2 linked regions of the Astyanax mexicanus genome follow. The protein of the gene in region 2 purifies or fractionates together with the protein of the main gene of each other region. This does not show direct contact. Links are inferred from orthologs where the notes say so. Each region holds a gene or a part of one and is shown on either strand. Other genes may lie near its edges. The genes, in order: obi1 and cnot1.

The links.
Region 1: the proteins of cnot1 (region 2) and obi1 purify together in Homo sapiens (affinity purification with mass spectrometry; 3 studies listed by BioGRID and IntAct, with this or other methods). This does not show direct contact. The link is inferred for Astyanax mexicanus from reciprocal best matches to the Homo sapiens genes CNOT1 and OBI1.

Annotation. Positions count from the first base shown.
Region 1 is NC_064412.1:53,330,801-53,343,911, forward strand, and holds the start of obi1 (ORC ubiquitin ligase 1), read right to left. Parts: upstream 5,338-13,111; 5' UTR 5,212-5,337; coding exon 5,140-5,211; intron 4,140-5,139; coding exon 4,004-4,139; intron 3,648-4,003; coding exon 3,553-3,647; intron 3,255-3,552; coding exon 3,033-3,254; intron 820-3,032; coding exon 731-819; intron 1-730. UniProt on the Homo sapiens protein: E3 ubiquitin ligase essential for DNA replication origin activation during S phase.
Region 2 is NC_064417.1:4,144,354-4,157,667, forward strand, and holds the start of cnot1 (CCR4-NOT transcription complex subunit 1), read right to left. Parts: upstream 5,585-13,314; 5' UTR 5,450-5,584; exon of another isoform or gene 5,397-5,449; intron 1,875-5,396; 5' UTR 1,680-1,874; coding exon 1,578-1,679; intron 1,211-1,577; coding exon 1,103-1,210; intron 435-1,102; coding exon 336-434; intron 176-335; coding exon 107-175; intron 15-106; coding exon 1-14. Other genes in the region: kdm7ab (lysine-specific demethylase 7B), read right to left, coding at 13,085-13,173.

The sequences.
Region 1 (13,111 bases), on a different chromosome or scaffold from region 2:
ATTTATAGCAGTTTAAATGCACACATTAAATATGGTGCACTTTATTTTTGTGGTAGCTTTTTGTTGTCAAATTACTTTATTTTTGTAACTTTTTTTTTATTACATTTGAACTACTGAATGTATGAAACTAATTTTTAGACTAAATAAAACGAAGATATTGTTGCAGTAGTATATTCTTGAAATTAATTTTAAAAAATGTCATATTGCCTAGAATATTGTTTTTGCAGAAATACCCTGAAATAACATATTATTTTTAGGGCCATATTGCCCACCCTTAATTGAGACATTTTTTTTTTAAATGTAGGTGGGCAACATATGTTTTAAAGTTTGGTATATTTTGTTATAGTGATGTACAGCATACATATATATATTTATATTTCAGGTTGCATTTTCTAAATATTGCGTATTTCTTGAAATACTGTGATACAATATTTTTACCATATTGCTCCTACCATTGTAATTTTTTTTTTGTTATTAATATTTTTGTAATAATTAAATTAATAATAAAAATAATCTGTCATGGAACTGACACCTTCAACCTGATACTGCTTTTCACACCCCACATATGTAGTTGCTCTGTTCAGGAATAATGAAGGGGGGGAAAGAGTGACGGTAACTGTAATGCTGGAGGATTTGTTAAAAAAAAAAAAAAAAAAAAAAAAAAAAAAAAAAGGAAACACACACAGACGCACACACAGTTATCAGTGCACAATGGTGAAGTTGTGCTTACTTTTGAGGAGACCTGCTCTCCACTTCAGCCTTCAAGCGCATGTTTTCCTGGATTAGGTCGACATTCTGGGACCTCAGGGTCTTGTTAGCCTGAAGGGAGAGAATGCAAGTTTGCCTTCAGACCACCAGCCTTTTGATTAAGTAACTCAGCGGCTCAAAGTCAATAGAACCCGCCGAGGCCGTCATGTAAAAGCAGGCGTTTTCCGCAGAGACAGGGTCAGGAAAAGTTCATACATTGTGAAGAAAAGCCCGCTTGACCAGGACTACACACCGGTACAAGTAGCAGGACATTTCATTACAGCAGGCAGCTGAATAATATAACAGCCAAACACTGAGTTATGAGCTTTCCTGATCTACAGCCTGGCAGGAACAGCGCTCTGGCCAGTGCCAGTTCAATAGAATTTTTAACACATTTGCATTTCAAAAATTACATTTTTAATTTTTAGAAAACGAGTTTTATGATGAATGGACCAACGGAGATGTTCTGAAAGGTCTCGGAAAAAAGGAGGAGTTTGGATTGTTCTTCTACAAATTGGTACAAAGAATTGTTCTGACAGCAACAATACATAGATTAGCCATAACATTAAAAGCACCCCCTTTTGTTTCTATATTCACTGCCTAATTCATCAGCTGCACACTGTAGCTGTATAATTACAGACTGCTGCGACAGTGGAATGATGGTGGTATATGAGGTGTTAGTGCGGGTTGTGCTGGTATGAGAGGCTCAGACACAGCAGTGCTGCTGGAGTTTGTAGACACTGTGTCTGGTTGGTATAACATTCTCAGGGATGTTTAAAAACTCCAGCAGCACTGCTGTGTCTGAGCCTCTCATTCCAGCAGTTCTGAGACTCACCCACCACCCAAATAATAGCTGCTCTCTGGCATTACAGAGCAGGTACAACACAAACTCTTTAGACTCAAATAACATGTGTGTATGGTCATAATGTTTTGGATCCGTGCATCAGCATATTATATGAGCTGTGAAATTCTGGATTCTTCTACACTGAAATAGAGCACTTTGTCCACAGGGGATTTATTGTACACGTGGATAAATCCCAAACGGCTATCTGTTAGACACATTATGCACTGTTTGGGTGCAGAAGCAGTTATTTTAGACCGGTGTAGTAAGGAATAAGGAGCCATCTGAGATTCAGGCTCAGTGTGTGGGGGGAAAAGAATGTACAACCTAGTCAGCTTTGTGTTGAAATAATACAGGGAACCACAGAGATATAAGTGACAATTTGTCGTGTTTGGCAAGAAAAACTGTTCACATGTGCTTGCACCTGTAAATCATTGCATTTTATGTTATACAAAAATTTTGTTTATAAAGGCCAGCATGGCTACAGGTTTTTAAATGTGCTACTGCCATGATAGAATGAAAACCTGCAGTCACAATGGCTCTTTGTGGATAAGAGTGAGGACCCCTTCTCCTTCAGCTGGGCGAGTGGTGTTAAACCAGTCCACATTGGGATGCTGTGTGGCTGCATGTTTTAATTTCAGCCTAGAAGAAGCACAAGTCATCAGCTGGCACACTTAATAAACAGCTGTTTAGAATAAACTGGTTATTTCGAAAGAAATCAAGCAGCATTTTTTTTTTACAATTTAGAAAGAAAAAAAAAAGTATAATTTGGGTATCAGTACCGAATTCAAAGTATTGTATCAATACCTGTATCAATAATTTTAAAATTACACCCAGCACTACCTAAGCTAGGCAATTAATTTAAATCTAATCTAAATGTAAGTACCATTTTCCTTACTAGAAGCATTGTAAAAAAATACATCTTGATAATGCATTTTGCGCAAACAAACAGTCCTTCAAACTTTCTTTGTGCCAAAGAAAAAACTAAAAACTTGTGACATTACAATTAATGTTTAAATAATCAATTAAAATAACTGTTCATTAAAACACTTTTCTAATAATATAATTGTTCATAAATCCTAATTAAGGTAAAATGTTCACTTTGCTCACTTTGCTTTGTAAAGCTTTGCTAACAAAAAGTTTTTAGCAGTGTTACATTGCCAAAATTTCTTGAGGCTTTTTACTTTAATATACCTCTTAATTATTGATTTACACAGCATCAATCTCCGGTCAGTTAAAGACGCTTAAATTGTGTTGTGCTTGTATGGAAACTATATGTTATGTTTTATTTATTTATTTTCTCAAACTGAAGTGAAAAATTTCTTTCCACTGGCACTTCCACATACTTCCAGATTCCCTGACATCACTCCAAAAACCGCTTTCTGAAACCTTTAGGAATGCTTGGCTTTTCTGTATAGCGAATATTAAAACATTAACATCTTACTTCTTTCAGCTTGTCCACATCCTGTCTGACTTTCTGATAGAGCTCATTGGCAGCTTTGAGTTTATTGGCCGATTCCTCCAGAACTCTCGGGTCAACGGCTTCAGTCTCACTTTGAGAAGAGAAGCAGGTGCTGGGTTCCAGAGCAGTCTTCAGTTGCGTCTCGAGGCTCAGGTTTTTGCTCTTCAGCTCCTCGTTCTCTTTCAGTAGGGTTTCAATTTCATCCTGAAAGTTAGACCAGTGATCCAGTGAATCAGACTGGGTGCCTTACATAAGAAACACTTAGCTGGTGTTAAACAGCTAAAAGAAGAACTAAACTCTATGCAGATCAGTATTTAATAACCATTTCAATCAGCAGATCAGAAACTTTCTATAGCTCTTTTGAAGGACAAATAAACACAGAAATAATCAACTATTAAAAAATATATAGCCGATTATGAGACATTTACTTATAAGTATGTAAAATTATACAAATTAAACTGAAGTACCAGGTGCATAAAAAAGCAAAGCATAACTTTCAAACCTCGTATTCTTGCAGTATTAATTCCCCACGGGTTTTTCTGAGATGCTTCTTAACTGAGTGGCTTTCGTTTGATTCGCTGTCATCATTTGTTGCTCCTATTATCACATAAAAAAATAGATAAATAAGACAGTTTCAATGCAGTGGCAATGTAGAGTAAATAAATGTTCAATAAACATAATGTGTATACTCTGGTGTAACTGATGCACAGTAGCATTAGCATGCATGTAGAACTATTTGAATGATGGGATTGCTTAATAATACTGCCATAATACTGAAGATCCACTTATGTAAAGGAGAACAATGCTTACAAAACAAAAACATACAGGGTTCTGAACATATTTAATTTACCATAAAACTTGATTTAATTTAAATTTTTTGCCACTAAAAAGAGCAGGAACTACAAACAGGACTAGACATGGCAGGACTTCAGTGGACTTCCACAGCTTGTTACCTATGATTTCTTTGCATGGGTTTTCAGGGGTGATGGCCACTCTGCAGGTGGGACACTGGCTACATTTCTGAAGCCAGACGTCAATGCAGGTCGAGCAGAACACATGATTGTTGGAGCAAATCTTGGGTTTGCGAACCTGTTGAGAGAAGACAACTGTGTGAGTCCAATAATAGTAGTTATTTAAATTACTTATTCTATTATAAACATACATACATACATACATACATACATACATACATACATACATACATACATACATACGAGAAAAGACACTGCAGCTGGGCAATATAGCCAAAATCACAATTCTTAGATAGCATTTCTATATAATCTGTGATCAGACAACTCTGTGGCTGTTTTAGTATATTAAACCACATTTTATTTCTTATAACTGGTATCAACAGGAACAAAAATAATATAATATTGTTAATAATATTGACTTTATTTTAGAGTACAGGTTAAGTAAACTAGCTAGTGAGCTAAGGTTTTCATATGTTGCTTTTTCGTACACTAAACCATATTAAGTCTTATATATTCCTTTTATATTGGAAATATGTATTTATTTCCAATTAGACCAAAGTTCAACCTTACAGCAGTAGAGAGCAGCAGTGAAGGATACTTACAAGAGCAATAAATAAGTAAGCTAGTTAGCTAAGTCAGGTTTTCCTATGCTACTGTTTTGTACAAATACTAAGTCTTTCCTTTTATATTGGTAATATTTAATAATAATTAGGTTTATCCTGTAATATAGAGCAGCAGTAGAGGAGTGTACTTACTTAAAGTAATAAATAAGTTGGGTTTACTGACTGTTTTAACTATTAAGTTCATTAAGCTAAAGTACTTTAGTAGGTTAAACTGTTTTCAGGTCAGGTATTAGCCTCTCCGCACCACACTAAAATATACACAGAGCATCAGAGCAAGAGGTTTAAAGCACTAGCCAAACTAACCAACGAATAAAAGCAGAAACTAAATATAAAACATGAAAACACTTTAACAGTTTAATAGTATGTTAGTTATCTGTTATCTCTTTTTTTTCCGGAGTTCAGTATATGAGTCTGGGTAAGTGAGGTGAGGTGAAAGCAGGCAGAACAAAAGCAGCTCCTGCTTCATTAATTCAGTAATCTCACTGCATTAGTTACCTTCCCCAGGCAGATCTGGCAGGAGATGGGCAGAGTTAAAGACAGGGTAACGCTCTGGCAGGTCTGCGCCATGTTTCAGTCTCTAAAACAAACACATGCAGATTAAAACCCTGTAAACTCCGCGCGTTAGGAGAAAACACACACTCAAAACAGCGCCGGTAACCGCGCTACGGCGAGCCGGAGGAACCAAACGCGATTCAAAATCTCCACAGGAAGAGAGAAGCCTGAGCTGAGCAGCGCTGGGAAATAAACACACACCCTGCTACGGACTTTTGGGTAAAAAATTAAATGAAAATAATATTAAATATATATATATATATATATATATATATATATATATATATATATATATATATATATATATATATATATATACATATATATAAATATTTTAAACAATTGTGCATAAATATTTATATTTGTATATACACAACAGGCATATAAAATGTTTAGAGAAAACATTGGAAGCTAGATAGCTAACTAACAAATTAGCTAGTGGTTAGCTTAGCAAACAAATATTAAGAACATTTTCAGACGTTCCTTCTATTTTTGTTATGTCAAATATATGTAACTTATATAAAGAGAATTAAGACCTTAAAATTTAGGTTGCTAAGTTGCTAAACTCATAAAAATAAATAATATTAAAAAATAACTAAAATAACCTGTAACCTGAAAGTCATTTCTCACAGAGTCACTCTCACAGTTAAAAGCAAAGCTAACCCAGCTACTGTAGCCAATGCTAGCTAGCTACTTCAGCTAACTCCCAAACACCAGCTAATCACTCAAGGCTAAAAGCTAACCCGGCTACAGCTTGTTAACAGCACTATCCACTAAAAGGACACAGGGAAAGGACAACAAGACTTTCTGGTAAGACTTGGGAATAATTAAACTGTATTTTTGTTACAGTGTGAAGACCAAATGCAGGATTTTTGAGTTATCAAAATAGTGTGAACCAGTCAATATAAGCTAAGCATACACAGTACCAGTACCATTATTTAAAAAAAATCAGCATTTTAAATTAAAATCATTCAAACTATGAGAAAGAAATTTAAAAAACAAAAAAATAATAAACCAACCAGATTTTGTTTTATATTTTAAATACTTTAAAGTAGCACCTCTTGCTTAGATATCTTGGCGTTATGAGGTAGTCACCAAGCTTTCATGGCTTTCAGTTAACAGCTGTGCCCCATCAAGGGTTAATTAGGGTTAGGTTTTCTGGATGTGCTTAGAATATTTTTGTGTTATTGTATTTATTTTTAGTTTTGAGTATTGTTACATTTAACATTTCCATAGCATTAGTGTTCATCTAACTAGAAACGTTATGTGAGAAATAATTTAATAACATTGTGCTGCAGATATTATTATGTTACATTCTCATAACATTCCTGGAACTTTTAAGGTTTAAGGTTCAACAACCTTGCTAAACATTCTTATAGAGCGCTTTTCCACCAAAAGAACTCTGGTTCTTGAACCAGTTCCGTTTGGGCTTGTAAAAACCATTAGGTCTGTTCGGTTCTGAAATTTATTTTGTTGGTGGAAACGTGGCAAACAGTTCAAAATTAGGTTTGGGAACCAGAGTGGTGTCAGTTTTACATCGATGGAAATGCGTTAATATGTTCTTTCTTAGCTGGGAATATCCTGCCTTTTTTAGTCCACCACTGGTGATGTTACAGTCTGTGATTCCACTGTGTTCTTTATCCACCATAATGAATGTGTTCCAACATGGAAAGTTTAGCTGAGTACAAAATTAGTGTTATTAAGCACAGGTGTTTCCAACCCTTATATCAGGAGCCCTGGAGGGCACACCTGATTCAACTCACCTGTTAATTGGAAAGTTTAGCTGGTGTGTAGAGTGAGGAAACCAAACTGAGCTGGACCCCAGCCCTCAGTTCTCTACCCATGTTCAGTACGGTCCCTGTGTCCTAAAAAGCTGTCTGGCTTGTATCCTTATTATACTATGTTCTGCAGCCCACACTAGTGTTTCTTCCTCTCACTCATAGAAAGTCTTGGTACTTCTCAGCGTTTCTTCCTGATTCTCACCGGCAGTTTCTTTCCCTCTCTCCCTCGGCGATGCTCATTAGAAAAGCCACTTTGGGCTTTTGTGTCCTACAAATAAAACTGAGCTGAATTGAATTGAAAAACTCATTGCCAAATGGCAGAAACATGCTGTGGCTTCATTGTCTTGTAGTTTAATGGCAGTGCATCTTAGAGCCCTTGTGACCTAACCTGATTAGAATTGAACCACAGGGAAACTGTGTTGTACATTGATTGCAGCATAACGTTGATGCTGGAACTGCATTACTGCCATTTATTGCAAGTGTTTCATTTCAACACACCATCCACTACTGTCTAACCATAAAACATTGTGTGGTGTATGTCCTACAGACAAGTCTATGTCCAAGCAGATCACTATAGGGCAACCGCAGGACGCCAGTGGCTTTTCTAATGATATTGGCTCGGCTTGCTTTGTTAATAACATGAACTGGACTTGCATTGAAAGGTTGGAGTTTTAATGGTAGTACTGTATACCAAAGTATTAAAACATTTTAACGGATCTCCAAATGAAGATAGTATTTCATACATATTCCATATTCATAAATGTCTCTGTGTCTTTATTAAAAGGCCAATATAGCTTTTTTTCATTTATCTGCTTTTAAGATGACCATAGGATGGGTGCGCCCTCTGCATGACAAGAGTGTCCAAATGTATGCATCTGTCTAATTTGCTTGTTCATCTGCTATATGATACATTTAACCAAAATTGCTGACCCAAACAACCAGTGATTTATAAAGGAAAATCATGAAAATGATAAGGGGTGCCCACACTTTTTCGTACCACTGTAACACCCACAGTATGAGTCTTCTGTGCAAGTGAAAACATGTCAACAGTAACTTCAGACACAAGAAAACTGCACAGAATGTGTCCTCTCTGCTTCAGAAACCCAAACTACACCAGTATATAGTTGTCGTTTTAAAAATGCATGCAGGACATTCAGCAAGATATGAAATAATGTAAACTTGAGCATGAAGAAATTCCTGACCTGTGTTGAGTCAGTATTTCTGCTCTTGAGTGAGTCAGCATTGTGTATAATGCATGAGGATACTCTACTAAATTCCCTGAAATAAGTCATATGCCATTACATATACCTAGGGGTGTAACAGTACACAAAGGTCACAATTTAGTTCACACCATGGTTTGGACTTTACGGTTCGGTACAGGTACAGTACAATGGAAAAAAAAAACATAAAAAAGACAAGACTAACAGAGGATTCTTTGGATTTATTAATATAATTTTAAGAGACAGTTTTGCAAGTTACAGTTTGTTCCATCTTGTGCCATATGCTGCTGCTTATGACACTACTACCGTAGTTACTGTAAACATGGTGGTATCAGAATGACAAACTCAGTTTTCATCTGCTCAATCACACAAAATTTGAATTGAAGAGAGCTGGCAACATAAAAAAGACTTAATAATTTCCATCATGCTCTTTGCAATTACACATTCTCACCAAAACGTATGAACTGTTGTTTAACGCAGTGTAACAATGTAAATATTAGCCTCGACCAATCCACCATGATTTCATTAGTGTAAATAAGACATTAAAGCCGGAATATCAATGAAAAAAGCTAACCAAAAAGCTAACAACAAAATCGACTAATAAATTATGATTGTACATTGCATAGACTTACTTTTTTTATTTTATTCTTATTTGGTCAGACATCATGTCCCACACTTTTCAAAAGTGGTGGTCTTGTTACGGATTAGCAGAACTATGGAAGTCATTTAAGAAAAGCCTCAAACATGCAGTATCTCTGTGTTGTGCTGTTAGTGACATCACAGTAATGGGAATGCACACATGCACACTCATGACAGACACCTAAAAGCATGATGTTCTCGTAATGCCTCAGAACTTTAAAGCAGCAGTGATTTCATACTTTACAGGAACTATGATTCATCCCAGTGAATCATCACCTCAGATGATGCCATGTCTCAGTTGTCTCAGTGTTTAAAAGGAATATTCCGCTGTGTCCTGCCTGACCTCGCCACCTTTAATGGTGATGTTTTGCACTATACTTTACTTTGGACATCCCTCTAGAAATGAGACCATACAAACAACCCATGCACCTTTTTGGAATTAACAAATTTGCATATATTACACTTATTACAAATTTAAAAAATAATGAACGTGGCAATTTTATATCTTGCATAAAATTGTTTACTATCTGAATATTGATATATACTTTACATTGCCCAGACCTAGTTGGAGTATAAAAGTAAGTGTTTCTTTAATAATTTCTGTAATCTTGTGTTTACTTTCGTTACAAAAACCTTATGAACATATTTTTATGTTAAAGTTCTTTACATAAATTCCTTGCACATGTTGGACAAAAAAACTAATTAAAAAAAATTCTAAAAACCTCTAGTGTCTAAATAAAGAATAGTCAACGTTCAAAATATTCCACAATCTTTCCTAAGATCATATTTCACCCCCTACATGCCTCAGTCCAGTGGTTTGTAATCGTTCGCTCATTAATTGGTGACAGTCAATTAATCACAGCTGGTCGAGACTCCAGCGTCTATTGATTTCGTCCTGGGCCTTATTTTTCATCCCCTAAATGACACAGATCGGCAGATTTAGCTTGGCCGGGGTAATGGAGGGTGACCCGAGCGTCCGGCCTGAGCCCCCATTCCACGCGTGCTCTCACACACACACGGCGAAATGGCATCTTTACCATTTAGGCTGGAAAGGTTTAGACTGCCTTAGAGCAGAGCATCGGGGAGAAGCCCGGTTCCACCGCTAGCCTGACCTTTTCTGTTTAAAGCTTAATCACTGACAAATGCTTACATTAATTAGCCTTCTATCCCTCCTTCCTTCCCTCTGTCCTGCCCCCCACCTGTTTCCCTGCACACACACACACACACAGATACACACAGATAGGGACACGCTCCGCTACCTCTAGTCTGGTATGTTTTTCAGTGACTCTGGCTGAACAGGATTAGCTTAGCATGCCGTGGCTGAACTCTTGTGGTGATTTAGACATTTTGCCCCCACCCCCTGCAGGAGGAATGTATTGATTAGTGATGCCCCTGATGGAGATAGCTGTGGAGATGGAGGAGAGTGCCATGGCGACTCGCTGTAGCAGTGGGACGCTCACCTAAGCTCCATCACCTCTCTGCAGGGTAGAGTTCAGGAGAACAGCAGCTGCTGCCCCCCATTATCCTGAGGATCAGCACACTTATCCCTTAGTTATTAACTAAGACTAACTTTTGTGCCAATAAAATTACTTATTTAATCTAATAAAATAGGCAAAAGCTTTAATCTCTTTTAAACAATGCAACCTACACTTAAAAAATAAACAGTTAAACAATTATATAGAACTGGCAGCAGTAAATATAATCAAATTTTTTATTCGGTTTGTAAATGAAAATAATTACTTTTACAGTAAAGTATGAATTAAGAAAAAATGCATTGAAGCAACTTATTTTATTGTTATATCAGAATAAACAGCTTTTGAGGATGGATGCCTCATGGTGAGTGCTTCAGTCCTGCCTTTGCTGTGGAGCGACTAACTGCCCCAAATGCTGATGGGATGGTCTAAGGAGCCATTGTATACGATAATCAGTCACCCCTAGTAGAAATACTATAAGGAACACTAACAGCCAAGTGATGTGTACAGGACATCCTGGGGTCATATTTTTCAGCAGGATAATGCTCACCCACACACAGTAAGGGTTTCACCGGAATGGCTCTGCTAGATTGTAACACTGCCTTGTCCTGCTTGTTTACCAGATTTATTACCAATCAAGCTTTTATAGAAACAGCTTGGGTGCCAGATTCTGCAGCCTACAAGTGTGCGGGACCTGCAGGCCCAACAGCAAGTAATGCTAATGCTGCTCCAGCTGTGCTAACCGGAGTTAGCGGCAGGTTACAGTCCAATATACTCACCTTTGAACGGCAAAAGAGCTAGCGCTTAGTGCAGTTAATGCTCGGCTAATGCTAATACTGCTCCAGCTTCGGTGCTGGAGAAACTTCACTGAAACTTCTGTATAACAATGCTTTACTGCTCCTTACAACCTCAATGGTAGAATTCATAAATTAGGCGAACTGGATTTTAAGAACGCTTACAGTACGAAAAATAATGCGAAAAAAACTTGAAATGGAAGTGAAATAAAAAAATAACTTATCAAAGCAATTTTTGAGCATTTCTATTGACCCATGCATCATGACAATTGAACACAATGTAAAGAATAACATCTAGGTTCCTATTAGGCCAAAAAAAAATTACATTTGTAAAAATAGACAGTAAAAGTAATGTTAGTAAAGTGTTACCATATTTTTGCTTCCTAAAATTAGAATTAAAAGTTAAATCTCTCTCTCTCTCTCTCTCTCTCCCTTTTCTCTCCCTCCCTCCACTCTCTCTATCTCTTTCTCTCTGTTATATATATTCCTCTCTGCAGTAGTGCTGTTGAAGCTGCTGGTTTTATTGCATGGCCTGCAGGCGGGCTCAGACGAGTGAATGCCCCACGCACTCTGTGCCCCTTTACGGAACAGCTGATGCCCTGTGAGTGGATCCAATGCACACAGACACACACACACATACACACACACACGCCTCAGTGTCAGAGGGCCCCTGGGAGCGCAGGGTGGATTATTATGGAAATGCTGTCGTCCACTGGCCCCGTCCTTCCACAGCTGGGGAGAAGCATCATTACAAGTATTGTAGCAATCTGTTCTGGTAAGGGCAGCGAGTGAGAGGGTGTGTAAGAGTGTAAGAGCACAAAGCGGCATGCATAGATCACATAAAACATGATTAAAATGTGTCCAAGAGAGCAGGAATAAAATAAAAAAATAACTTCCTATGAACGCATTATATCATATTGCCAATATGAGGCCTAAGCATAAATCCCCAATTTCACTCCTTTTTTATTAAGGATGACTCATGCTGGCGTAGTCGTTTCATATGAAAGGGACGGGGTACCTGTAAATATGACTATAAATACACTTTCATCTGTATGGTTTCATACCCACACTATTGTCCCTTACACTAGAAGCACAGGAACAAGAACTGTATTTTGATTCAATATTGTGGAGGAGATGAATATCTGTATCTAATTGTGGTTAAATATAATTTAAATTTTATCTTCATGTTTTAAAAAGGTTTACAAAATATGCATTTATTTCCACCCAAAATATATATATATAGATTCAAAAAGTGTCAAAAAGTAAAAAGGGCCATATATATATATATATATATATATATATATATATATATATATATGGCCCTTTTTACTTTTTGACACTTTTTGAATCTGGCAGATCTATAGTTTACACAAATCTTATGAATGAAAATGACTTAAAATTCAATATTTATAAACAGACTTCATTTCAAAGTTAAGATTTTTTTTCCTCCTGTAAACAACAGTATGTGCCACAAAAACATTGTGCACTAAAGCTTTCCCTAATCGATTAGAATCAATTATATTCAACTCATCTGATATGTCAAAAGTATCAGCCAGGAACTAGTATCTAGTGTCCCATGACTTTTGCCATATCCCATGGAAGCTAAAGAACACTGTACTGTCCTGTGTGATGTGTTTGTGGGGTCTCCTGCATTGAATGTGGATGTGATTTCTTTTAGAGTTGTTTGTCTTTTTACATTGACAATTCTAGACAGATGCCACCGTTCACAATCATTACGCTGTCCACTGTGGGTGGTAATGACTTTGAGGAATGGTAAATGCCCTCACAACTTCAGAAACACAATGTACCATCCATTTGCACCCACGATCAAATCTCCAACAGGCCTTGCCATGAACACACTGCCCAGTGTTTACCCTCACTCACAAGATAACACCTCACAACTCACATACAGATCTAACTGAATCAATTGGTCACATTTGGTATCAGTATCTGTACTTGGTGTCGGCAGATAATCTAACATTAGCATCAGTATCAGAAGGGCAGAATGG
Region 2 (13,314 bases):
AGGCCAAAAATTACCTAGTCCAAAAGAGAATGGGTTAATTGACAAGTTCACAAACTAACCAATAATGAAAGTTCAGTATTATAGTGCTTCCTAGTTTTTTACTTACCTCCTGAACCTTGCTTAGCTTGAGAACTTTACTCAGTTGAGGAAACAAGTGCGGTGATGGCTTCAAACTCTGTCAGACAGACGGATGGAAGAGGAGAGAAATTGGGGGAAGTAGGAAGAAAAAGAAAGACAGAAAACAGAAAAAAGAAACAGAAAAAATAAGATTAGGAACTAAATAAAAGTTGACCTTGTGTTTATTTGACATAGCTTTCAAGGCAAACTACACAAACCTTCTGATAGTGCAGAGGATTGTCAATGGCGTAGCAGAGAGTCGAAATAAAATTTGGCTTTGTGATAAGTGACACACACTCCTGGATCAGAAACTGTGTCTAACAGAAGAAAATCGATTAAAGCACAAAAAGCAATACATTTTCTTTAAATGATACACAAGAATCAGTAAAGAGTGAAACAGTCAATAATAACTGTGCTATAATGCATACATTACAGCCTACTGTGGACAAATATGTAACATACAGAAGCACGGAAAGTTAAAATAAAAGATTATACTACAGCTGGTCCTGAGAATGTCAGGAAAATTGTACAAGTTAAATAACTTAAAATATATAAAAATAGATATTTTCAGGCCTAAAGTTTCTTGCAACTCTACAGCATGTTAGCATAAAGGTTTGCAGTATTAATAAGAATAGCAATCTTAGTGTACAATTTCAAATTCCCAAATTAAAGTACATGACATTAAACTGCAAACAATTCAACAAATATTCCCCTAAAGCTTCAATAGTACATATTTTAATTCAGTAAACAATAGAAAATAGAAAATAATAGAAAATAATGCTATTACTACAATATGGGTGTTTTTAATCACTATATTACAATGTTACGACATATACAATACAATTTAATACAACATGTTATAGCCCTACTTAGCAGTAAATCCATGAGCACTGAGTGGAAAGACATTCCTGTACCAATCAAACCAGAAATGAAAGAATAAACATTAAAAAAAAAAATCTAACTAGCAAATAAATAAAAAAGGTACCTGGTGGAAATCTTTCCCACTGCTTTTACCATCGCCACTGAAATCCACATGGGAAAAGAGACAGCGTAATAGATGCCTGTCTGCCTCAGGGCCGTGACGATTCACAATCTGAGATATAGGGAGAGTGAGAGTGTGTTCCATGCCCATCAAGTAAGTGTGACCTTCACAGCCCTAACACTTATTACATCTGTGAATGACATACTGCACTGACTGCGATAAAGTAATCCACAACTGAGATTATTTGGCTTTAACATGTCCCTAAAGCCTTATAGACAAAAAATAAATAAATAAATAAAAAAAAATAAAAAACACAATGGCTGTCTGTAAGATATTGTGATGCTAACAAAACATTAACATTACATGTTTTTGTAAAATATCTTAAAAGATTAAAGCATAAACAGTATAAATTAATGTAGAAAACATGGCTCCATTATTGATCTTCATAATCAACATCAACAGCTTAACAGAAACTCACATGCTGTATTTCTTGCTGGCTGGCTCTGTAGTTTTTCTTAGTTAAATTGTCCACCAGGTAGCTGATTTGAGACAAAGCCAGCGAGAGCGAGTCAAGATTCATTGCTGGTTGGGGCGGAAGCAGGCGGCCGAGCACGGCGCAAAATCACCATTATTCCCCTTTAGTCACTTCGGTGATAGGTTACTTCTGCTCCCCCCCCTCCCCAGGTGTGTAATTGTCCGTGTGTCCAACAAGTGGCTTCTGTCGGTGGATCCTGATTCAAAATACGGTCCCTTACTGCAACTTCAAGAATGACATCTACAAATGAAGAAAAAGAAAGAAATATTAACATCTAGAAAGGGAATGACAGACCTGCAACACGGAAAGAAAGTTTAAAAAATCTTACAAATAATTTTAAAATGGTCCATTTTATAGGTGAACAGCAACTAGATCAAATTACTGAGATACAAAATTGATAAATGTATTTTACGATTATTAAAACAGTAAAATTCCATTAGAATACAGGTGGTAACGTGCTACAAATATCACGCTAATGTCTTTTTTTTGTTTTGCATATTCTTTAACAATGACGATGTCCACAATATGATTAGAAAAGGCAAATTTCCTGACAATTTTTTTTTTACTAGCTTTGTGACTGATCATGCCAGGCCTATAGGTTTCAAAGTATGCATGTACAAAAATCTGAAGTTTATATGCTGACATACTTGGAAGACCTACTCCCACAGCAATTTTACAAGTTAACCTGCAACACTATACGTTTTTGTAGTTTGTAGTTCTGTAGTTACTGTGAGAAGTCAAACTGCTTGTAAACACGTATGCATGTAAACTACTTAATTCACCGCTGCTTAACCTGCCATGGTAAAAAACAGCAATAAAACCTAGTTTCAGTTCTTTGGTTTCTACTAAAACCACAACTTTGGCAGCAGCAGAAGTATAGAGAAAGAGAAACTTAAGGGTGCATGCAGCTGCATACCCGGAAGCCATGGCAATTCTACAGTTAGGTATTGGTCTTTAGATTAGATTGGTCTAGAAAGTACAATTTCAAAAGGAGATAAAGCTACAGTCAACAAGCAACTGTGTAAACACAACTTACTTAATCAGTTATTTTACTTACAATAGAGCGGTTCGTGCGTACAAACACACTCTGGGACACACAGATGCGAGTAGTCATTTACAGTACAAACCAAAACACGGTAAACTCGAACCATTGCTTGTCAACAAGGTGTCTAAACCCTCTTAGCTGTATAGGCAAGGCTATATGTAATAATAACATTATCGAGTTCATTTGGCAAGAAGAGCCCATTAAACATTAATTTCCATTGTTACAAATCTTATATGTCACAACAAATATCTAAATATTTCCTAATTAAAAGTCTGTGGCTGTTTAAAAATAAATGTTTATTTTATCAGTGTTAAGAAATTGTCATACGAATCAAATGTTCAATGATTTATTTTTGGCACAATATTTGTGAAAGACCTACTGTATGAAATTTAGAAGCAAGACCTGCTTTACTATTTACCTCTACATCAATAAAATGTATAAATCCTTTGTCAAAAATCTGTCCAGGAATCAATGAGGCCACTGCTATTCCATTCCTAAGACATCCTTAATGTTTTAGTTACCACTTTATTCCACCTCAAAAACAAGAAATGACTAAAAGGCACCCAATTTCGACAATTTTGGAGAATTTATTGAGAAAGGAGACAACCCAGGTGAATATAGTGTTAAACTGATATGTTAAACCATATCAGTAGTCAATTCATTCATTCCCCAGACTGACTAGCAGATAGCTAAACCTAGCTTGCTTGGTTCCTGCAATCTTAATTTAGTTTATCCACATTTAAAAGATTGTAAAACCACGAGTAAGGAAGTAAATAAACTAAATCTTAGCTTTACAAAATAGTTAGCCATAAGAGGAAAATTCTACTGCAGACTGAAATAAACAGCAGCCAGCTAGCTAGCTTGCAGGCTAACATGCTAAGGTAACAGCTGCATCATCTCCTATAAGGCTAGCTAACGTAGCTACTTAAATATGATGCGTCTAACAATGGTGAATACGCCAAATAAACCTGATTTATTCCGATAATTACAATAACAACATATTTTAAAACCTGCTGCCTGCACATTTTAGTGCTTTTTCCTGCTATTTCAACCGTCAGAACTGACTGGTGGAAGCTAGCTACCATTTTAGCTAGCTAAAATAGAAGATGCATTATCCTGTAATAACCATATACTAAGCGTCCAGTGCTTTCTCAAACACAATCTTCTGGAATCAACCGTTTATTTATTTGTTTAGCCAGATGGTGCTTACAGTCAACCCCAAGAAGTAAATGGTAGCAGCTAGTTAGCAAGTTAACCCAACATGCTAAAGCAGCAGCTGCCTCGTCTTATAATAAATTTAGATTTGTTTTTTTTAACGGCACACGAGTGTTTTTTTACAAAATAAATCTTCTGGAGTCCAGCGTGTCTACATATTTGTGCTTTCCCTGCCCTAATACAACGTTTTCAACTTTAAGAAGAGCTTAGTGGCTGGTCTAGTGGTGAGTAGGAAAACACCAATTTGCGCAAAGTAACGTTACAGTGAATTACTACAATCCACTGATTTAAGCTAGCTAGCTAACTTACCACTTATCAAATAGCTATAGGTTAGCTAATTTGTATGTTTAGCTAGACTAGCACAGCTAAATGTTTATTCATAAAGTGCCTGTCTAGATGATCTAACCTATTTAGCTAGCTAGTTATCTAACCTACTGCCTAACCTGGTTAAAGTTCACGTCAGCCAGAAGACCCTTCTCAACTTCAGAAAAACCTTTGTTTCCAAACTGAGCTAGCCAACCAGCTCTGTTCACCTGCTAAAAAAGCGTCAGAGAACTACAGCTCAAGGCCTCAGTTTCACATCTGTTTATTTTTAATATCCCCGACGAATAATCCATCATATTAAGAGTTTAACAGCTAGCTAATCTCGTTATGTTAGCTAGCCACCTTCTATGGTTATCCTCTGGAGAAACGGAAAACATATCGGTCCACTGCAGACAGGGCCTTCAGCTAGTTAGCTAACCCAGCTAACTAAGCTAGCTAACGCTAAGCTAATGCTGGAGCCTTGAACCATTAAGAGACCATTAGTGCTAGCTAGCAAGCTTGAGAGCATAACATTACTAGCTAGCTTAGCTAGTTAACACACATGCCATGAATGCTGGCTATAGTTTCGCTTGTGTTTTGTTTTTGTAAATTATACGATTTAAAAAAATATTTCAATCACAATTTGAGCAGTTTATTTCGTGTGTAAATGAGTTAAATTATGTTAAAAAGCTCAGAAGTAACTAGATGACTGTAAACCTAAGCTTGTGTTCTGGGCCTCAGCTAGCTTAGCTATCGAAGCTAAGCTAGCTAAATACAGTAAAACTTGAGTAACGTGAATAATGTTATCTAGCTAGTAATTATAATTTTATTATATCTATAAAAAATATCTGATATTTATAAGTTGTGTTCACATTTAAACAGAGTGAAAGACAGCTAACTAAAAGGAGTGATCTGTAGTTAAGTGATAAACACGCTAGAGTTGGTAGGTATTAGCTAGCTAACCGCTAGCCTAGTTCCGTGTATCTGCTGCAGTGCTCTCAGACCGCGATGTTGCGTGAATCCGCCCCCGCCTGCCTCGCTCCGCTGAGCGGCTGTAGAGAAGCAGGCTAGCCGGGCTGACTGCGCGTTGACGGTAGATTAGCACTCGGCTAACACAGCAGCGCCGCACGATAACAAGACTAATCTAACGTCCGCGAGCGGAACCCAAAACGAGAGCAGAGCTGAAACGCGTACGTTACCTCCGTTCACACAAACTACGCGCCGCTGATCGTGTGTATTTTCTCTCTCTTACGTTTCTCGGCTCGGTCTGCTCTGGTGAAAGGTCGCTTTCCTCCCCGGTGCTGTTCGCTTTTTCGAAAATAAAATGGCGACTATCATAGCTCGCGCGCACCCAGCGGCGCTGCTCTTCTTATTAGCGACGTCCTGACTCGCGCACGAATCGGCTCGTTTGAACCGATCTTCGTGAATCAAATACGTAGAGCTGATTCAAAAGCTAACTGTGTTCGGAATGGTTCACTTATTAACACATTCACTATTCACTATTCACTAGATACAATATACAGCTCTGAAAAAATTAAGAGACCACTTACAAATGATGAGTTTCTTTAATTTTACAAAATTGAAAATCTCTGGAATATAATCAAGAGAAAGATGGATGATCACAAGCCATCAAACCAAGCTGAACTGCTTGAATTTTTCCAGGAGTACCAGGAGTAAAGCAGCATAAAGTTATCCAAAAGCAGTGTGTAAGACTGGTGGAGGAGAACATGATGTCAAGCTGCATTAAACTGTGATTAAAAATCACTAAATATTGATTTCTGAACTCTTAAAACTTTATAGGTATGAACTTGTTTTATTTGCATTAATTAAGGTCTAAAAGCTCTGCATCTTTGTTGTTATTTCAGCCATTTTTCCCAAATTCTTAATTGATATGTTGTAATTTAGAGCACTTATTTGCAGAAAATGAGTGCTCTATTTAATGAGTGCTGTATTTCAGAATGCTTGGGGTGTAGTGAAACATGATGTACATGGACGAGTACAAACGTTTGTCGAATAGTCCTGTTCCATTTACCCCAAGCATTCTGAAATACAGCACTTGCTTCAACTTACAATGCTAGCAATAGGGACATAGAATTACCTATGCAAAGAAATCTATATTTTTACACCATTAAGCTCAAAGTCAAAATTTTGACTTGTACTGTATAATAGCATTATGATATAACAATGTAATTACACCCGTTAAAGAGCAGTGCACTTAAAATTAATATAAATATCAGATATTGTGACTGGAATATAAAAAAGTCAAAATATTCTAAATAAATAAAAACTTAATAAAACCAATAAATTAAGTCAATATTTGTGTTAATGAGATCTCCTCCCTAGCTAAATAAATACAATGCCTAATTTGAAGTCACATAAAATTATTAAAGTGAAAATGAAATTGTTGAGACAGGGTCATCTGTGGGGCAGTGGAACTGTTCTCTGGAATAATGGTGCTCATATTCTATTATTATTGTAATATTATTCTTATTACAATTTTTTTGGAATAAGTTTGGGGGTTTGGAGATGGGGTGTGATGGTCAACTTACATTCCTTCATTGAATCATATTTAAAGACAAATTATAAATATGCAGAGTGTTTAATTTAGAGGATAAAGACAGGCTAATAATTTAAAAATAAATGATAATGGTTTTGTTTATTAAGATACAATAACAAAATAACTGGAACGCAGGGGAAAAAACAAAATGAGAAAAAAAGGAAATGTGTGATGATACCATATAGGTTATTACCACATACATATATAACATAAAATATATTTTACATTTTAGATCAATTGATAAGTAAAAATAATCAATAGGTATTGATTTGAGAATCAGTGACTCACTGAATTGAACATTTGATTCATTGAATCAGACAGTTGGAAAGAATCGGTTTAAATCGAACCGAATCACTAGTTCGTATGGTCGTGCCCGATGCGCGCAGCACAACAACCTATCAGATGACGAAAAAATATGACAAACAATTCTGTCAGTTATAGCATTTTATTAAAATATGCATAACTTTTTCAAACAATATTTGCACATAAAAACAGCATAATCATCTATATAGCTGTAACTTGTGTGGGTAAAGTAGGTCATTATTATTATAGAACATTATGAATATTTCTTAAGGTAAAAAAAAATATGGGAATTTATGGGATTATTTGTCCTTTGGTACAAGCAGCATTTGCAATACAGGGAGGCTTTTCACCTTTAATTTAAAACTTTGTAATGCAGTATATCTTAATGCACTTAAAAATAAATTATGAAATATTTTTAGTAGTAGTACAAATTTATACTTAGACCTGAGTGCAAATAATAATAATACACACTCCTAAACACACCTGGGTGCAAAAATCCTGTGCCAAATAATATTCTTTCATCAAACATGGTCTTCAGCAACAGTCCAAATGTCTGAAAACAAAAAAAAAACTCATGCCCATAAAAAAGGGAAGGCTCCAGGACTTTCAGTTTGCAGTTTCTACAGTGTGCATGCAGAAGTTAAGGGGAACTGTGGAAATCTGGAAGCACAAGAACACTGAGAAAGGAGTTTATATGCTGGTAATATCAACAAAACCACCAACTGAGTGACAAGAACCTGCATAGAAGTTTATTTGCACGAAGAGGGTGGAGCACTGTTCTATTGTGCAGTGTTGTTTGTTCAAACATAATCGTATTGAAGAGTCGTAAAAAAATACTAAGCCTGTGACCTCCAAGTCAGTGCTTAAAGTATGTATACCACACAACACAGGTTCATTAGGAAAATGGTAGAAGGCTGTGAAGCATGGGGGTGGATACTTCAAGTTAAGGTTTAGGTTTAGCAAAACTGGCAATATTGCACAGTTAGAGAGAAGAACATTTTTTCTACAGAATACCAGCACGTCCTGGATGCAAATTGTCCCAGAACATGCTATTATTACACAGGTAGATAAACAATCTGTGCAGCAAGATTACTTAATAATACCTTTATAAAGAACAGTTGAAGTTCCCAAATGGCTTTATTTTAGTATCATTTAATATAGCTAAAAAAATAGCAAGCACACAGGATCACAATAAGTTCTCTGTTTTTGCAAGATAACTTGTCAAGAACGATCTTCCCCCCAAAAGTCATTGTTCACAGTTTTAGGCTACGTTTACATTACCAGGCTGAAGTGATTTAAATCAAATTGTTTGCACAATGTGGCTCAGATCAGATTTTTTTCACGGCTGTGTGAACGTATAAATTCCGATTTTTTCAAATCAGATTCATGCGTCTTTTTGCTTTTACACGTTAGCATTAGCGCTACGTGCTTCTCTCTCGTACCCACACATCTCTTGGTGCAGCTGTGCAGCTATAGCTAATAAAACAGCAAAAGCAAACCGCCTGGCCTTTTCTCACCTCCTGGACCTGAGCATGAACTTCAGAGCAGCTGTTTACTCTCCACTCCAGCAAAAGATGCTCCACATATGAGCTGCTAACTCATTATTTAATGTGGCTTGTAATGTGAACGTAGCCTTAAACTAGTTTTTTTTTTTGTCTAGTTAGGAAAATACACATGCTTATAAACAAATAAAAACTAATCTGCATTAGCCATTTCCTCTGGATAAAAACACACATTTCACATTAGTCCTTGCATGAGCACAGCTCTCAGTGCAGAGTGTGCTAAGAAAGGCTTTCGTAAAAGCAAATCCACACTGACCAGAAGGATTTGTTCACTCATAAATCTTTTAATATGTACAGGCCGCATTGTACAGCTGAAATCTCCTATTCAAAAGATCCAATGCAATTTGTAACAGTGTGACGAGAAATATCTGGCACAGAATAAGGTAAAGAAAAAACAAACATTCATAATTCAGAGCATCAAATCTAGGGAAGTACACACTATGACCAACAACACTTCCATTTGGTGTAAAACTGACAGCAAGAAAGGAAAAAAAAAAAAAAAAAAAAGAGAACAGAGAATGCCAAATAAATACTGTACAAGTTAAAGTACTGCATGATACAAGCCCTGCCTGCAGGCCAGTAACATTGTTATGACATGTTATGAAAGTTTGCAGAGATGTTTACCAATGTGGAGCAAAGTAGTGTGTGTGTGTGTGTGTATGTGTGTGTGTGTTACAGCTACATAATTATGTAGGCAGAGCTTGTTTAGTGCAGGATTTATGTAGAAGTTGGCTGATACACACCCCTTAATCAAACAAAACATCATCCCAAAATACATATGCATGATATGCACTTTAGCCTGCATATACATATATGTCAGACAATATAGATATAGCACCATAATAAAATCAGGGTGAGGGTGAGGGTGGAGGATGTTATGAAGGACATGAAGTTAAAGCCCCAGGCAGGTTTTGATGCAACTGGAATTCGACACCATTCTGGACAACCCTGCGAGTCCTGGGTTTTATATCTGAGGTGGTTGAGGCTGCTCTTCAGGATGCAGTCAAACAGGTTCAGGACTATTATAGGAAGGGGTGTTGAGACAAAGACAAGCACTCTGCAGTGGTGGGGATGGGGTGGAGAAACTCTTTCCTTTGTTTAGAAGATAACACCAAAGCTGTATGGAGATAAATTAGTGCAAGCACATTAAACCTCACCAGGCAAACTTCATACAAACACACCAAACAAAATCGTCAGAACGTCAAATCTAACCCTGAACCTGTTGAACAGTCTTCCAAATTAAATAATGTTTGTTTTCCTGCAGTTCCAAGTCCATATAAATAACAGAATATCAAAAGTTTTTTTTTTTTTTTTAAACAGTCAAATGAGCCCTGAGCATTTTTCACTGTACCTCATTAAGCTGTGAAGTGAGTTCAGTAGGGAAGTGGAAAATGTGATTTCTGGAAGCCTGGAGGAGAGACTTTTATTGCCTGAAGAAGACACTGTTTTTAGTTTCCTAACAAAGCATGTGGAAAAATACTAACCTGAACTGACCTCAGACCCCGAAGAGTTCTCTGATTCTGAAACAACGTGAATGGGAAGACTGTAACCTGTATTAACCTGAATGCAAACAAAACAAAATAAAACAAAAACAGAAATACAAAACCGGCTCATTTCATTTGCTGCTGGTGATGCTTTCAGGGCCCAGCACAGATCCCTGAGGGACACCACAATTAAAGTGAATGGACTCGAACCTCAAAATGAATATCGTAACATTATTTGGCATTTCAAAAGGGACCAAATCAATGAGCTCTGGCCTGACAATTACCTGAGGTTGTTCAGACTAAACAGAACCCGAGCAAATTCTGTCAAATTACACACACACACACACACACACACTCACACATACAGGGTCTAATTGTGTCTCACACAACAAAGTCATAGCTATAATTCAAGAAAAATGGAACCCACACACAAATGTACACTTTGTCGGTGCAGTTGCAAAACTTTTCTCTACACGGATTAAGACTCGTCTTAGAAAAATAAATACTCTTTCAATTCTTTGTAAAAACACCAGCCATAGCCAAATTCAATTCAACACAAAAAAAAAACAGCCCCATTAATATACCAAACATTCTTGGAAAAACAATTATTCCTCTCATTATTTTACAACACTCAGCACCAATTCAGACAGACAGACAGTGTTTCAATTCATTCGAGCTTGAGGAGACTTGAGGAGAAGCTTATATTCGTTGGTGGTGGTGTTGGTGGTGAAAAGGACATTGCTGTGAGAACTAATCCCAAATTGATCAATAAAACAAGTAGAAAGCAGTTGCCACAATCAATATATATCAGCAATGTTAACACTTCTCGACACTAAACCACTGTCCACGTTAGTTCTGTAATGGGGGAAGGTAGGGGAAGAGCTTACTGTGTCCCAAAAGGAGCCAAAACATTATGACCACATCACTCAAATGAATAGTGTTCAATCCTGGTTCTAGGCATGTGCTAGACAAGGTGTGAAGACTTGAGGAACTTTTGTTAACTTGTACTGGGTTAGACTGTGTTGGAATGACTTCAAATGACTTTAACCCTCTATGGCAACAAACAACTTTTTTTTGTTGATTATTCAATCCCTTTAATCCTTGTTTATGTTTATTTTATCTTATTTTATATGTCACAAGACACACCTCCATTAAATAAAATAAAGAGAAGAATTTGGACATTCTCTTTGGAGGTGGAATAATCTTTTTTTTTTGCAACCAAAGCCACATGGGATGCAATACTAGTAATTGATAAGAAAAATATAGTGTTTTAACATGTTTCACTTTAAAGACATTTACGAAAAATAAAACATGTATATGAGCAACAATATGTAAAGAAATATATTGAGGTATTAATTTTTTTTTGTTTTAATTTACGTTTTCAAAGTGTTTTAATTTGTTGACTCAGGACTTAGCAGTGCTTATTATTCAGTTATAATAAAACTCATGCCACAGAGGGTTAAAATGGTCAGACTTCTGTGGGGCAGCTTGTGGTTAGCAGTGGTGTTTACCTATCTACGGTGTTCAGAGGACTGATGACAGGTTGCCAGGCTCACAGAAGCTTACATGCTTATGGGACTGTGTAGCAACAGGCGGTTCAGAGTACCAAAGCAAGCCCTTGTCCACTGCCAAACTATTGTTTTGGCTGCATGCATTAGTCTAAAGGCATATAAGGTGGATGGCCATAATGTTTTGGCTCATTGTTATCTCCCATTAAAAAAATAAAAACTTTATGCTACAATTGAGGTCATCTTTAAGACTGTAATACATTATATGTACTTGAAGTACATGCAAAAATGAAGAAACTATCTAATATGATCTAATATGTTTTGCAGTGTGTCAAACAAAGCTCCTCATCTTGGTCAGCGTATTCATACTGTGTAACAAGCAAATCCATCAAACAAAATGAAACAATAGCAAACAAAAACAACCATTCATATTCAAATAAAATAAACAGTAATAAATACACAAATTTAAACAACAAGCATTGTGAATACAAAAAACAACAAGAACAAATAAAAACAAGCACCAAAATTATTTTAAAAATGGAATAAATTAAAAATGTTTGTCTTCTTGTTCAGCTCCTCTCGAATAAATTCCACAGTACATGCACTCTCCCACCACTAGGTGGTGCCGGAGAACTGAAGAAATGCTTGACTGTTCAAAAATGTGGTCATTTGAGTAAAAATGTGGATGTAAAAATGGTGGTAATGCTGACGAAACAACTCTTTCTCTCTCTTTTTATTTTTTTTGAGGCCTCTAAAATGTTTAAAAAATTGATCTGCTGAAAATGATCCGCTGATTAAAGCCCTCCTCTCTCCAGCTTTGAGAATGAAGGAGCAGGTGGTACAGCCAAGTCCTCCTGGAAGTTTACTGGTAGTTTATTTCTTGAGCAGAAAATGAAATGAGAAAGATAAGAAAGTGGATTTATCGTATCTTTCTTTACACTGAGATTTGATTGGCAGGTCAAGCACCATTTCAGGAAATCATTTCATCACTCTAATGCAATCGGCTTGTTTTAAATTCCACATATTTGCAACGAACATCCGAGAAGTCGTTTTTAAGAGCAAGAGGCAGTTGAATAGTGTGATGTACGTTGCTGGAGAACACTTCCAACTTCTCTGTGGCGCTGCATGACCAGAGAGATGGCAGTAAATCTTAAAATGCAGAGGTTTATCCTGAACTCTTCTCCATGTAGATTTTCCTATGTCTTAAAATGTGAGATGTTTTTCCCCGTCAGATTTACAACTGCAAACTCTGCTGAAATCAAATGAAGTGTCATATTCTCTGCTGCCAGTAGATGGCTGTGTGCAGTAGCCCCACTAATGTGCTTCTTTCTGGTGGATTCAGTGTGTAGAAGTGTGCTCTTTAAATACCCTGTCACCTAACAGACACACAGCAAGAGTGTGTGACAGAAGAGCTCCATCTGTCCGGAACACACACACACACGCAGGAGGAGGAGATGCTGCTGCTTTCGGGTACTACACGAAGAATGATTTATGCCTGCTGAGCTTGAGAATCTTCCCCAGTCTTTGTTTGGCTGTGGCCATGCCTTTCTTGGGACGTTTCCCTAAGTGAAAAAAATAAAAAAATAAAATTCACACACTTAAATTGACACACAAATTAAAACCTACCAGTTTCCAGTCCAAATGTTTGTGAACAGACCTTCTAATGAATGCACACAGCTACTAAAGTTGCATATATTGCTGAC